2 linked regions of the Xenopus tropicalis genome follow. The protein of the gene in region 1 purifies or fractionates together with the protein of each later gene. This does not show direct contact. Links are inferred from orthologs where the notes say so. Each region holds a gene or a part of one and is shown on either strand. Other genes may lie near its edges. The genes, in order: ccnt1 and larp7.

Evidence for each region.
Region 2: the proteins of ccnt1 (region 1) and larp7 purify together in Homo sapiens (affinity purification with mass spectrometry; 10 studies listed by BioGRID and IntAct, with this or other methods). This does not show direct contact. The link is inferred for Xenopus tropicalis from reciprocal best matches to the Homo sapiens genes CCNT1 and LARP7.

The regions. Positions count from the first base shown.
Region 1 is NC_030678.2:135,690,323-135,697,548, reverse strand, and holds the start of ccnt1 (cyclin-T1), read left to right. Parts: upstream 1-3,535; 5' UTR 3,536-3,561; coding exon 3,562-3,707; intron 3,708-6,096; coding exon 6,097-6,178; intron 6,179-6,742; coding exon 6,743-6,871; intron 6,872-7,226. Other genes in the region: testis-expressed protein 49, read right to left, coding at 267-366. UniProt on the Homo sapiens protein: Regulatory subunit of the cyclin-dependent kinase pair (CDK9/cyclin-T1) complex, also called positive transcription elongation factor B (P-TEFb), which facilitates the transition from abortive to productive elongation by phosphorylating the CTD (C-terminal domain) of the large subunit of RNA polymerase II (RNA Pol II).
Region 2 is NC_030677.2:68,966,071-68,973,231, reverse strand, and holds the start of larp7 (la-related protein 7), read right to left. Parts: upstream 4,221-7,161; 5' UTR 4,171-4,220; intron 705-4,170; 5' UTR 700-704; coding exon 492-699; intron 1-491. Other genes in the region: protein ZGRF1, read left to right, coding at 6,827-6,847, 6,926-7,006. UniProt on the Homo sapiens protein: RNA-binding protein that specifically binds distinct small nuclear RNA (snRNAs) and regulates their processing and function.

The sequences.
Region 1 (7,226 bases):
AGCCTGCCCCTCTCCCCCCATGCAGCCTGCCCCTCTCCCCCCATGCAGCCTGCCCCTCTCCCCCATGCAGCCTGCCCCTCTCCCCCATGCAGCCTGCCCCTCTCCCCACATGCAGCCTGCCCCTCTCCCCCCATGCAGCCTGCCCCTCTCCCCCCATGCAGCCTGCCCCTCTCCCCCCATGCAGCCTGCCCCTCTCCCCCATGCAACCTGCCTCTCTCCCCCATGCAGAGTTCTGTGCTACAGAGGAACCCGGAGCCCCTTCTCACCCGCTGTCTGGCCGGACGCTGCCGCTTGCCCGTTGCCCTGGAGGCTGAGAGCCCGTAACGGATCCTGATAGCCAAGGTGTGTGAGCCCGAAGAACGCCATGAGCGATCCTGCCCTATGCGCGTCCAGCGGTTGCCATAGCGACGCGCCTCCTGGTAGCTAACCTTTGAGCGCCGTTACCATGGAGATTACGGGGCAGGCGGTGAGTTGCGTACGGGTATGGTGATTTACTGTGCGTATGTAACACGATGCGCAGTTATGTATAGTTTATTTACTTGGAAGGCGATCCACATAAATTGTTATTATTGTACTTTTAGTTTTGTTATATAGATTTTTTTTCCTAAAGTATAGAAATGTTTCAGGCCTGGTACCTTTTGGGATGCTAGAATTTAATTCCATTAGGTCAGTTTTATTCAATCCATGAAACAACTACATACCTTCCAACAAAATACCACTCCCATTTTAATACATTTGGCAGGTTATGTAAAGTTTGAACACATTTCTGGAGGTTCTGGGATTTTGTGGGATGTGTTTTTACAGTTTTGTTAATGAAGATGAAGGGCTTTCCACCAGCGACTCCTATTGTTGCCAGTGGAAAGCCTTTTGGGAGTAGTTGGACTGGGGGGTGCAGGACCCCCCCAGCCCTTCCCCCCCAACCCCCTGCAGGGGCCACCCCACTGACGTCCTCCCCTGAGCAGGCTTAAATGAATCATGCCAGTGAGGATATTGGCAGCCAGGGGAAACAGCAACAGGGATCGGGTCTGGGACGTTTTTTCCCGGTGGCCTGGCAGCCCAGTCCGACCCTGCCCAAAGCCACTAAGTGGGTTCTTACCCATAAGCAGCTAGTTCTCCCAAGAGACCTGTTTATCTTACTAGTTACAAATGTATCTAAATGCAGGTGTTGACTGTTGAGTATTCTGGGCTCTCTGCCAAAAGCAACTTATCAAATTAAGTTTCAGAAACTTTGTATCTTTTTAGGCATTCAGTGCAGGAGATCAAAGGAAAATGAAGAACTTTTCAAAATGGATCCAGGACTGTAGGCTGAGCTGTTAGGTATGCAACTAATGTTTTACAGAATTTAATGACCTTGGGCCACAGATTTCAGATATAGAGGCACAGGCAGGGATTCCCTTCATTTTATGCATATGCTTCCCCAGGGTCATACTGTGCAAAAAAAAACATGTCCTGGCACTTGTGGCGCCAAGGATCCAGACCCAATCCCTGCTGGCGTACCCCACTGACATCCCTCCCCCAGTCACACTGAAGTTAAGTATAATGTAAGCACACTCGGGGGAGGGGGTTGGGTGGGCATTAGGGGCTCCTGGGGTTTGTGGGGGCCCCTAGGATGGCAGTCCTGGTGGGCCCTGCACACCCTAGTCCAACTTTGTACTTACAGCTGGGCCTGAAATGAACAAGAAACATGAAAGTGGTATTAGTTTCTTATTTAGGCCAGTGAATAAGTAAGTGTTAATTGACTTTGGGCCTGATTTCCAAATATCTATGTACAGGCAGGGATGCCCAGCATAGTATCCAGCTCGTTCCAGCCTTGCCCAGAATAATTCAAGACATGAAAAGTGTCATCAAAGTGGGCATCTTTGCAATTCTGGCTGTTTGACTAAGTAACAGGTATGGGAGAGGTTAAATGACCGTAGACAGTGGATTTCAAAATAAATATGTGCAAGCACGGATGCCACACATATATGGTCTAGCCTGGCCCGAAATGGCTCTGGGCATAAAAAGTGGAGTCAAAGTGGGCATCTTTTTAATTCTGCCTGCTGAATGAGAGAATGGGGTGTAGGAAAGTATTTCTATAGCACCACTTAATGGACCAGGAAACCCACATACACTGGAAACCTGTGAGCCCATGTGACCCTTCAAGATCATTTTATGACTATTCTAAACATAATTTCAGTTGGTTCATTATATATTTTTGATAGTTTTTGAAATATTTAACTTCTTCAAAAACTATTGCTTGAAGAGACTACATTTTTATTGTTGCTTTTTATCATTTGTTTTTCTATTCAGGTCTTCTCCTATTCATGAATACTCAGTGACCATATTATGGCTGAATTTCCGCGAAATACAAACCCCAAGGTGCAGAGATGCCAACTTCTTAACATGCATTGCTGGGGGCATTGGCGGATTTGGAGTGAGGGAGAGAAGGGTCCAAAAAAGGGTAACTCTGGGGTCTGGGGCATCAGAGATGACAGGTATGGAGATGCAGGGACTGTCCTACAAAAATGGGCCATTAGGAGTAATGCTTTTGTGACACTTTGCTCATTTATCTACACATTTGCACATGGGCAGTTAGCATGGAGACTAGGGTTGCCAACTTTTCTACAAAAAAAAAAAAAACCTTCCTATATTTTTATCTTTTTGTCCTATTAATAACATTAGCATCAAGTATAATTTTTTAACCAGGCTCATAAAGGCTATGCTTTATTTGTTTATTTGTCTCTGGCTTAAAGGAACAGTAACTTCAAAAAATGAAAGCGGTTTAAAGTAATTAAAATATAATGTGCTGTTGCTCTGCAAAAAACTGGTGTTTTTGCTACAGAAAAGCTACTATATAAATAAGCTGCTGTGTAGCCATGGGGGCAGCCATTCAAGCTGGAAAAAAGGCACAAGTTACATAGCAGATAACTAGTAGATAAGCCCCATATAATGGGGGTTTATCTGTTATCTGCTAAGTAACCTGTGCCTTTTCTCCTTTGAATGGTTGCCCCCATGGCTACACAGCAGCTAACTTATATAAATAGTGTTCCTGAGGCAAACACACCAGTTGTACCAGTGCAGGGCAACACTACATTATATTGTAATTACTTTTATACACTTTCATTTTTTGGTATTACTGTTCCTTTAAAAAAATCTATTCACTGATTGGTCGCTATGGGTTACTGCCCAGGTGGAAATTTTCCCAGTCTTGATAAATAACCCCAACTAAATTCTCCTGTAGAGTGAAAGTGAATTCAATAATAAAATTATTGGCGCTTTAGACTCACCTATAACTATGTATTCTTTTATTTTCAAGCGCCCTTCCTTTTATATTTTTTTTTTCTTTGTACCCAAGAAAACATATGGGAGACTTAGTGCATTTAACATGGCTTTTGCATTGTTATAATACATTCAAACCAAGAAGCAATTGTTTTTTAGGCCGTCATTATTCGAACTCCATAAACACCCGAAAAATAACACCTACGTCCGACTACGCATGCACCACGGCCACTACGCTACTCACGCAAACGCGCTCTGACGTCATTCCGTTTGCCATGCGTGCTCCTCCTCGCCCGCACAGTCATGGCGCCATTGAGCCGCTGGTATTTTACCCGGGAGCAGCTAGAACGCAGTCCGTCCCGGCGAGCTGGACTGGACGCCGATAAGGAGCTCTCGTATCGGCAGCAGGCGGCAAACCTCCTGCAAGATATGGGCCAGCGGCTCAACGTGTATCCTTCCCCAGCCCGCAGCGCCGGCCTGGGCGAAAGGGAGGCCTAGAATACATGGGCTTCGTGTTACATGAGGGAGATAAACTAAGGCCCTAGTGTGTGCTCTTTCGGCCAACAGCGTTACCGTAGAATAAGTACTAGTAGGGCGGGAGCAATGCTTTAGCCCCCTGTTTGTGTGTGGGCTCCGCATGTGGCACATTATATAACTAGCCCTACGGACAGGGATTGGCGGGGAGGAGTTATTAGTTGTGGTCGGTCCTGAGCCTAATGGCTGTCACTTGTACAGCTTTACATCATCTTGCTTTTTATACACTTAATATTGTTATTAAATCAATCCCTTGCTGGAGGGGTGAATAATTGAAGTTATCGAGCAGAGTGTGTGGACTTGTCTTTTTTAAATCTTACCAACTGAATAGATGTTGAAGAGAATGTCACGGTGCATATTATGTGCAGTGTTACACCGAGGCTAACCTAGTTCTATAGAAATGCAAGTGAAAGGGCGCTTTTGTTTTAGGAAGGGACTAGAGAGTGTCACAAGTACAAGGAATCGTATTACTTCACACAAGCGCAAGAAGTAAATGGTATATTGTAAACAAACCGTATTAATGTTGATACAAAACCCATTTGTTCACCTGATGTTTTTATTAGCCATAACTTTTTGTATTTGATGACTAGGGTTGGTTTAATAACATATTGTAATTTGCGTATAAGCAGTTACCGATGGCAACTGATCAGGTCTTTGCTTTTCTATCTTGCAGTAAACTCTGTCTTCCACTCTGTTCCGCCTGGTGCACAGGACTTATAGAGACTTCAGCACTCTCCACCACGTTCCAAGTAGCACAAAAATACCAGCATTGAAAATCAGCAGGGGTTATCCCGCTTAAAGTCCCGTTGTGCCGGTATTTTTGTGCTTTTAGAACCTGCATTTGTTCAGTTTACCTCCCATATTTGTAAATCAGAGCCCATATATTTTAAATAGAGGTAAATCACTAAACCCTATTAATGAAACAGTAACATAAAAATATGTTAATGGTTTCACCCCAAAACTATTACAGTAATAGGCAAAGCTTACTCCACCTTGGATTTTTGGAAAACTTCAGCTAGAATTTTACATAATGCTTCATAGCAGCAGGGTGACGAGCAACTTGCTTTCCCTTGTTCGGTGAAATGGAAGTTAGTTTAGCACTGGAGGACTTTCAGCACTTAGCTTTTTTTTATCAGTGTCTGCAGTTTAAATTTATATTTTTATTCCTTTGAACAACTTTGGAGGTTAATGTTGTGAGCATAAATTTAAACTGCAGATGCTGAAGGACCTCCTGTGCAAAGCTGTCTTTTGGTTCAGCTCACACAGATGCCTGTTGCCATGCTGCTATGGAGCATTTTGTGGAAGTAAACTTTAGCAGTATTGGGGTAAATTAAGTACTAACATATTTTTGTGTTACTGGTCCTTTACAAAGCATTTAAATGCAAAAGCCTTGGTTCCTAAAAGTCCTGTAAAAACACACCATTTAAGAATATGTTGTTACCTTTTTGGGGCGTGTGCTTTGACATTAAAAACATGAGTGTCTTCTGAGAGTACAAGGCACCCTCAAAAATCTCAGTCAAATAAAACTGGGGTCTGCAATGTGTTGTGTATTTAATTCAATAAAGCATATTTTGTGGTGTGTCCTGTGTTCTTGAAGAGATTACATGTTTTTGTGTCAGCACAGAGATGTAAAGTATCTACCTCCATAACATTGTATTGCTTTATAATTAACTGATCACCTCTTTCTGCATGTGTGTCCAGCTTCTGGCTATCTAGATCCTCTTAAACTAAAACTTCACAGCTAAAAGCTGGGATATTTGGGAGTTATACATTTACAGAATACAAAGGTCCCTAGTTTAAACATTCCTAATTTAAAATGCAGTGAAAATAAAGAAGTAAATGCAAAAGACTTAGTATTGTGTTTTGCTGTCTTATTTACTGCAGGCGTTTTAATTATTAAAAAAAAAAAATGCAGAGTTCAGTTTAAATATAGTCAAAGGTAGAAGTTTCCATCAGGTGAGTTAGTATAAACTGGGCCTGTTCTATTTATATAAGTGCTAATTATACCACCGTAGTTTAATTATAAGATTGAATAACATTTAAAAAGATTGATCATGGTTGCTGTTGGTAAAAGGACTGGTACAATTTAACAACCTCAAATTTAGTGGCCTCAATGTAAAGAATATTTAATGTAAAACCATATAATAATTTTAATATAAATTCAATTTATGTTAGAAAATGGTCAACAGTTTGTTTTTACCTGTTCACAAAGTTAATATTTCTGTCAAGGTGTTGTGCTTTATTTTTCCCACATAGGTAGGGGTGAATATGAAAATCTTATTTTCCTTAGCTTTACTTGTACAGATCACAGCTGACCATAAATACAGCTATTGTATATGTGCATCGTTTCTATATGGTTCAATCTTTCACTCGATTCCACCGTAACGTAAGTGTAAACTTAATTGTGCGTATACTTGTTTTGCTAAATTATCCTTTTGTTAAGCAAACGTGTGTTGCGCAACTTACTCCCCATGAAAAATTACATATCATTAAAACAATATACATTATCACAATTACATAAGCTATTGTAATTAGTTATTGCCTGGAGTTTATAAACAGAATGGAATGCTTTTGCAGATTAGTTGAATTTATCATCAGCGTGTACAATAGTAAACTGACCTGTTCACCAGTGTATCCTAAGCATTATGGAAAGGGTTTATACAGTACCTATAGTGATATCTTGTTTATATAGAAAGAGGAAATATTTTTATAATGATTGTTATTCATTATTCTGGCTTAGTGATCTGTTCAAAACACCTTAGCAATTAAAAAGACACACTTTTGTAGTTGTAAGAAAATAACTGCATCTACAAAAAAAAACTAAACAACGGGGCAGCTGTTGTGTTCATATGTATCCTATACATTTGACTGAACTGGTCTACTGGAAATGTATGAAAACACAGAATTTTAGTGGATGCATGTATTTATACTGTCATTTTGTACTTTGCAGTCTGTGGGACCAGCTGCACTCTTCTTGGCAGCAAAGGTAGAAGAGCAGCCTCGGAAATTGGAGCATGTAATCAGGGTGGCACACGCATGCTTGAGCCCGTTAGAACCTGCACCTGATACCCGAAGTGAGGTAGGTTGTTTTACAAAAATATTAGAAAGTGCCCTAGCACTGTTGGTGTATTTTAATTAGGGATGCACGGAATACATGGTCCTGGCCGAACCAAATCCTAAAAAAAGTCACGTGACTTTTTATCATGTAAATATGGAAGTTGAACATTTTTCCAAAATTGTCCAACATTTAACCCTTCCAAAACCTAATTAGCACATGCTTTTTAGGATTTGGGGGTTTGGCCAAATCCAAAAAAGTGGATTCCGTTCATCCCTAATTTTAATTCATCTTTATTGTTTTACCAACAGTACAAGACAGAGTGATTTTGCTACTTTGGGGTTTTTCTACCTCCAAATACCAATACAGGATCTGAGGT
Region 2 (7,161 bases), on another chromosome or scaffold:
ATTGCAATTGCTTGACAAGCGCTTATGTCAGCATTTGACAGGCAATAGTTCCTGAAAAAAAGCCACTGACATTATCCTAAATGGATAGCCATACTTTGGAGCATGTTTTGGTGATATGTATTTGTATAGTGGACTTTTCATGGCCTATTGTTGTTTCACTTCAACAGTTAATACATGTTTAAGCATTACACTTTATTGAAATCTTTATTGTGAGGAATGCAGATCACTGTTATACATGTGTGTTGACTTTATATGAAATTGACTCATGTATGTAGGATGGCTTTTTATGAAGAAATAAAAGCTCATTTTTAAATATGTTAAGGAGCTCCAGTGCTTCAGGAAGGTTTTCTATCTCCTATCCTATAGATGTTGTTTGGGGACACTACAGCATGTAGTAGCACTTAGGAATATGATTTTAGCTACTTATACCAAAGTGTAAGAGTAAAGTGATATGGCACAAAAAGGAAACAGGAATAACACAAAGTACTCACAGCCATCTCTGGTCTTCTCAATCTGTTCCCTCAGAAATCGATCCTTGTGCAGATTGACATCACCAAACCAGAAATCCACTTGCTTAGCAATGTCAGCAAGCAACTGCTTTACTCGTGACCGTTTCTTTTTTTCACGGTCTTTTCTCAAATCAGTACTCTCATCTTCTTTGACTTTATTGCTTGGGGTGTCAGTTTCAATCGCAGTCATCTTCTCTAAACACGGGAAAAAAAATAAAGTAATTGCATATTTAAAGGATTGTAGGGAACCTCAACATGCTGAATGATAATGTGACTTCATTATAATTAGCACAAAACTAATATTAAAAAGGTGCTATACTGATAAAGTAGCAAAATTCCTCTTTTTATATTTGCCAAGAAGTGTGGTAAGACTAACATCAAACGGAACAACATATGGCTTGCTGTGCAATATATAAATAGCCTGCACACATGAGTACATTTAAAAATGTAGAATGGAATACAAAGTTTGAAGCTAAACATTAAGCTAAACCAGTATCACATAGGCAGTTACACCGAGTCATTTTGCATTTGGCCTTTTTCTATGATCTGTGACCATTTGCTTGTCTAGTCTTCCCATTTCCAGTCTCACGCTTAAAATGATAAAATTATTTGGTTACTGGGTTCACTGACCAAACAACACCCACTTGAATATTGTGATAAAATGCTACTATGCCAGTAGTGTCACTTTAATGGAAAATAAAAGCTACATATAAGCAAGGTTTAACTTCAGTGTAACAGAATATTCAGAAAATACTCTCTCTGATTAACTGGATATCAGCATAAGAATTGAAGCACACCATTTTGCTTGTTATAACAGAAAATTCACATAGGCTAGGACAACAACAATCATTGTATATAGGACCCCTAGTGGTGATTTAGGAATAAGACAAATGCATATGTCTCTGAACATAATGAATTGTGTAGATATACAGGTATCTTCATAGACTGCATTAGGCTGCTGGTACAGTTTCAAGTCATTCACATTGACAGCAATGCTTTTCAGGAAAGTGTCACAGACTGTCAGCATGGAGTAAATGCCTGTGGAATTGCTAACTGTGGTGTCAGCACACTACAAAGTGTTGATTTGTAAAACTCTGTCAATGGATTATATATGAGAGTGCAAGCAATAGAGTAGCTCACAATTATAGGAATTAAAACAGATTAAAATAGATGTGTTTTTTTCTATATATGCTATTCCTCCAGTTTGTGACTCCATTAAAGGCAAAATAAATAGAAGGCAAGAAGTGAAATGTAATAAAAAAAAATGTATACCTTTGCACAAACAAATTTTCTTTGTGTGAATTTAATATAGCTTTTATGAACTCAAAAACTGCTCAGTGACCACTTCCACCAGTGAAGAAAGACTGCAAATATTGTCATTTGTAGTAGAGTCCTGCAGCAAGTCAGTATTAATGGTTATCCACAAAAAAAAGCAGTATTCTGCAGGTTGGATTTTCAGACACAGGGACAGGTTACTATTCTAGATTGCGTATCTTATATTATCTTTTATCTATTATGTTTTACTCTAAACATGTTTTACCCCTTCCCATTCTGATGATGTTGCTTCTGGTTTGCAGCAACAGCACTTTGGATTGGGTTGTGGATAAGGCAGTTGCAGGTCGGATTGAATGGCAGGTCCAAGAAGGTTAAAATGTGGGTTTGGGTTGCAGGTCCAGGTCTCAAAACTTGGTTCTGTGCAGGACTCTAGTTTGCACCAGTGCGCAATGTATACAATAAGACTCCTTACTGAAAAAGTTATTTTTGCTCCAAAAGATTACACCACCTTTAGGCATGCCTTTAAAGTGTGCTATGCACAATTAAGGTTTGCAATGCGATAACGGTCTAATGAAGACTATTACATTGTGAAACGTGAGTTTTTATTTTTATTTGTTCCTCAAACACTGCTAAGAAACAAAACATATTTACTTGAATCAAGTCTCTTTACTTCATTGAAACTAATATCAGTCTGATACTATGCTCCTCCCTGCTCAATAAAGGCCTTGCATTGTGTGCAGATTTGCTTCAGTGCATATTGAAATTAGATTTACATGTTAAGTAGAATGGTCAAAGTGCAAAATGAACTTGAATGACATCCACTGTGTGACTGGGGCTGTTTCCTGCTTGATTTACCAGAAAACTAAAAGCAGCAGAAAGTGGATGCTACAAGCAGCAAGTCTGACATCACTTTGAAGGATCTCCTGAAACATAGTTTTTAACTGTGCACCATCATGAATTGTTCACAGGTAGTTTGCTGTCAAAGGTACAATGGTTTGAACTTCTAATAGAATGAAGTGAAAAATATTTTTATTGTCACACAGACCTTGTTTACTTTGTATATACAATAATAAATAACTTTAGCTAGGAATATTTTCTTTTTCAAGAGAGAAGCCAATCAAATATTGCAACATTAATTTTGTTCTCCAAGAGTTATCCACCGTCTACTTCTCTTCAAAATCTAAAGGACATATACTGTGCAACTGGAATTAGACTCGCCAGAGATCATTCTTGACAAGGCATTCTGGATATTTAGAAAAGTTACAAATTAAAAACACGTCATCAAAACATATTTTTGGTGGTTCTCATCCCTCTTAGTTTTACAAATTAACAGATCTGAAATTTGTAGGTTAATAGTTGCTATTAAGGTGGCTATACACGTAGCAATAACGATCTTACGTGCAGGAAAGATCGTTCCCACCCTCCACTGATGTTCAGTGCTGAATTGTCAGATATGGAGGTAGAAACAATAGAAATTCTACCTCCTCCTGCCCTAAATGTAGATTTTGCTTGGGCACCTTCAGTGGCATGATAAATATACCCCTTGGTGTACTCCAGTCTTTAGAGGTTCTCATTTTAAACATTCCCATCAGTGGCGGTGTACATATTTACCATGGTTTATCTAAGAAATACTGCTATATGTAGACTGCACCTGTACAGTTTGTATGGCTGCCATAACTTTGCAGGTAAAAATTATAATTCATAGCAATGTGTTAAGTAAGAAAGACTGAAACAGTATGGGTAAGGCCATTCTTAAAGAAAATATCATCCATATATTTTTTAAAAAGTGTTCTTGCACAATGACAGAAAATGCAATTGCAGGCAAATTTCCAACATATATCAAGTTTTTTTTTTATGTAATTACAATTGAAAGCAGTATTTCTTTAATCCTCTTTTGTTCTCTGATTATACATTTATAACTCTGTAGCCGTCATTTCTTCTCCAGGGGGTATATTTATCATGCTGTGTAAAAAGTGGAGTAAAGGATTACCAGTGATGTTGCCCAGGGCAACCAATCAGCAATTAGATTTCAACTATTATAAAACCAAAGCATCTGACTGGCTGCTATGAGCAACATCACTGGTAATGGTTTACTCCACTTTTTACACAGCATGATAAATATACCCCTAGGTCTATTATAATCAGCTCACTTTTGCTACTCAGTGAGAATTGTTAATAAATGGACAAGAAAAAGTTGTTTAGAATGACATTTTCATACATTATGCACAAAACAATGTTTGGTTGGAGGACCCAGTGAATGTGGGGCGCCCAGCCTACACTTTATCCTATTGCTAACCCATGTGCACCAAGTAACCCCAACAATCGCTTATTTCACGATAGCAGCATTGCCAACAATATAGAGAACAAGCACACGCCACTACATTACCAGCTCCGGATAACTTCGCATGTCATTCGGGATTTAGGTATAGAAACACGCAGTGGATGAGCTTCACGTCATCAGCCGAGCGACACATAAAATTTCCAGATCAACCAATCAAGATGCAGCGCTTTAGAGGCTGCCCCGTAGCTGCCTGCATCACCATGGAAACGAACCGGCGTCCAAGGTATGGGATAGGGTTCAGGAAGTTCGTGGGTGCTTGTAAGAGCAGTTGGCAATGACTGTGACAAAAAGTACAATTTACAACCATCAAAACAAAGACTGCAAAAAATATTAAAACAAATACACGTTAGTGGCTTTGGCGCATTTTTATGACGTCAGAAAAAGCGCGATTTGTTCGAAAGAACAAGGTGGGAGATGGAATGTTTATGTTTCTGATGACGGCTGGTAAGGCAGACAGAGGAAGAAGCGGTGGTAATATGTTTTGCGTTCCCAAAGATGTCAACAAACCCCGTGATAATGATATTGGATATGTCAAAAACCTTAATTCCTCTTAACTAGGAATAGTAACTTGAGAGAACCTGTTCAGTCTAACTTAAGCCTGATTTAATCTCTCTAGCATGGCTGCCTGTTAAGCAAAGGATAGCTTACAAAATCCTTCTGCTAACATTCAAAGCCCTTCACTCCTCTGCTCCTCACTACATTTCTTCACTGGTCTCCCTGCATATTCCTGGTCATCTCCTCCGCTCCTCTCAGAGCCTCTGTCTTTTTACACCATCCACACCCACTGCGCTCTCTCGTCTTAAACCTTTCTATCTCGCTGCTCCTTACCTCTGGAACTCTATCCCTGAATCCCTCCATAGGAAACACTCACTCTCTTTAAGATAAAACTATCTTCTGGAGCACTAAAACATGATTTTGCCTAGTTCTGCGCTTAAGGGCAAATGCCCATACCTGGTGCACTCTTACCTTCCAATTTGTGCCTGTATGTTACCCAACCACTTAGATTGTAAGCTCTACGGGGCAGGGACCTCCTTCCTACTGTGTCTATTGTATTTATTTTAACACTTGTCCTCCCTGTGTGTAATTTTGTATATTATAAGATTATACAGCGCTACATATCATTGTAGAGCTTTATAAAAAAAGTTATACATACATACCTTGAAGTAAGGTGTCAAAATGCCAGTGGGTAGGATGGTGCAGGATTAACAAATTAGTCTTGGGCTCTTTTGTTTGTTTCCTTCCGGGGCACATTGGGCTTGGAGTTTGTATGTTCTCTCCTTGCTTACATGGGTTTCTTCCCACATTCCAAACACCTTCAGACAGGGTAACTGGGTCCTGGCAACATTGCTGGTGCGTTTGTAAATGTGATAGGGATATCAAACTGTAAGTTCCACTGGGAATGTGACTGATCTAAATAATTTTTCATTTCTGTACAGCGCTGTATAAATCATATCTATATGTCAACACTGTATAAATCAGAAGAAGAATAATAGTGTAAATTTTGTTGTGGAGAAACAAAAAAGTTAAAAGTGAGAAAAACTACTGTGGGGGGTCACAGACTTTTAGCCACCTGTAGGCAGAACAATAAAATTTAACATTTGATTGGTTGTTGTGGGTTATTGCCCAGGTGTAAATGTGGCCACTTTTCAGAAGTAAGTCCCTAAGTGAGGAAAAATGGTTCTGTGAGCAGAGACAGATTATCATGGTTTCCATTCAATGTGTAATCAGATATGTCTGTGTAAAAAAAAAAAAATACAATCCTGGAAGTTCAGATATTGTTTATGTACCTTTTCTATATAAGCCCAACAGAATGTATTTAGCTCTTATATTGGTTATTAGTTGTTTTTGTGTGTTAAATTTATACACCCTATAATTGTACAACAGTGCAGAATTTGTTGGCATTTTATAAATACATGTTAATATCAATAATTAGTGCCAACTGTTTACATATGCTAAGAATAGACACACTGAAAATGGTATAGGAGCCATCTTGTGGAAGTTTTGGTAAGTGCAAATAGGATTGTAACAGTTTACCCTTAATAAAATCCTATTCCCACTTACATATTCATAAAGAAAACAGTAACACGCATTAACACATTTGGGCTGATTTACAACAAAAGTAGAGGTCACCCTTAAATACATGCAGTCACTCCTTATACATCCCTATAGTTAGTTTGCATAGCACCCATGTGTCCATCCTGCCTCTTTTCCTGAACCATGTACAAATTCAGTTGATGCAGGGGAACCCTGGACTTACTGCTACTTTAAAGTTGGGGAAATTTTAAAAGTTTCCACTGTGGCCTGCATCAATATGCACAGTGGATTTCTGCCTAAAGAATCTTGTACAGATTTGATCATTTTTATGCTGAGTGCTGGAAATTATATAATGCCTAATATTTAACCTGATTGGATTTGAATCACAAATGCAAGTGTTATTGCATTAGGATTGTGGGGGAAAATAAACACCACATTGTGATTAAAAAACCCCACAGCAAACTCCATCCAAAATTGCTTACTCCTCTTGTGTATGTAAATGACCCTAATTGTGGCAAGCATAAGAACATTCTAAAGAAATTGCATCAGACAACTTTTAATGCTATCCATGTTCAATAGAATATGATTTGTGAGCTAACAAAATTGCTGTCTTCATATGATTGTAGGTGCTTCAAATACTTAAAAAAAACAGCTCTGAGATACAAACATGGCTGCTCAGGCATTTATCGTAAGTATGTTTTATGGGTTTTTTTTAATTGAGTACATGGTATTTTCAGAATAATTCATTTCTGGATTTTCTTTTAAGGTTTTGTACACTCATCAAAAGACTAAAAAGTCCAAAACATGGCAAGATGGAATTTTAAAGCTATCACCAGAAGGGAGAGTGGTAAAAAATGCTGTCATTATTTTATAACTTTTTAAATAAGTACTTGTAAATATTTGCTTTATTTGTAGGTGTATATACTGATAGTCCAGTCAGAATGTTTGGAAATAGGCACAAGGAATTGCAATGTGTAAAAACAGTTTATCAAAACTAGCATC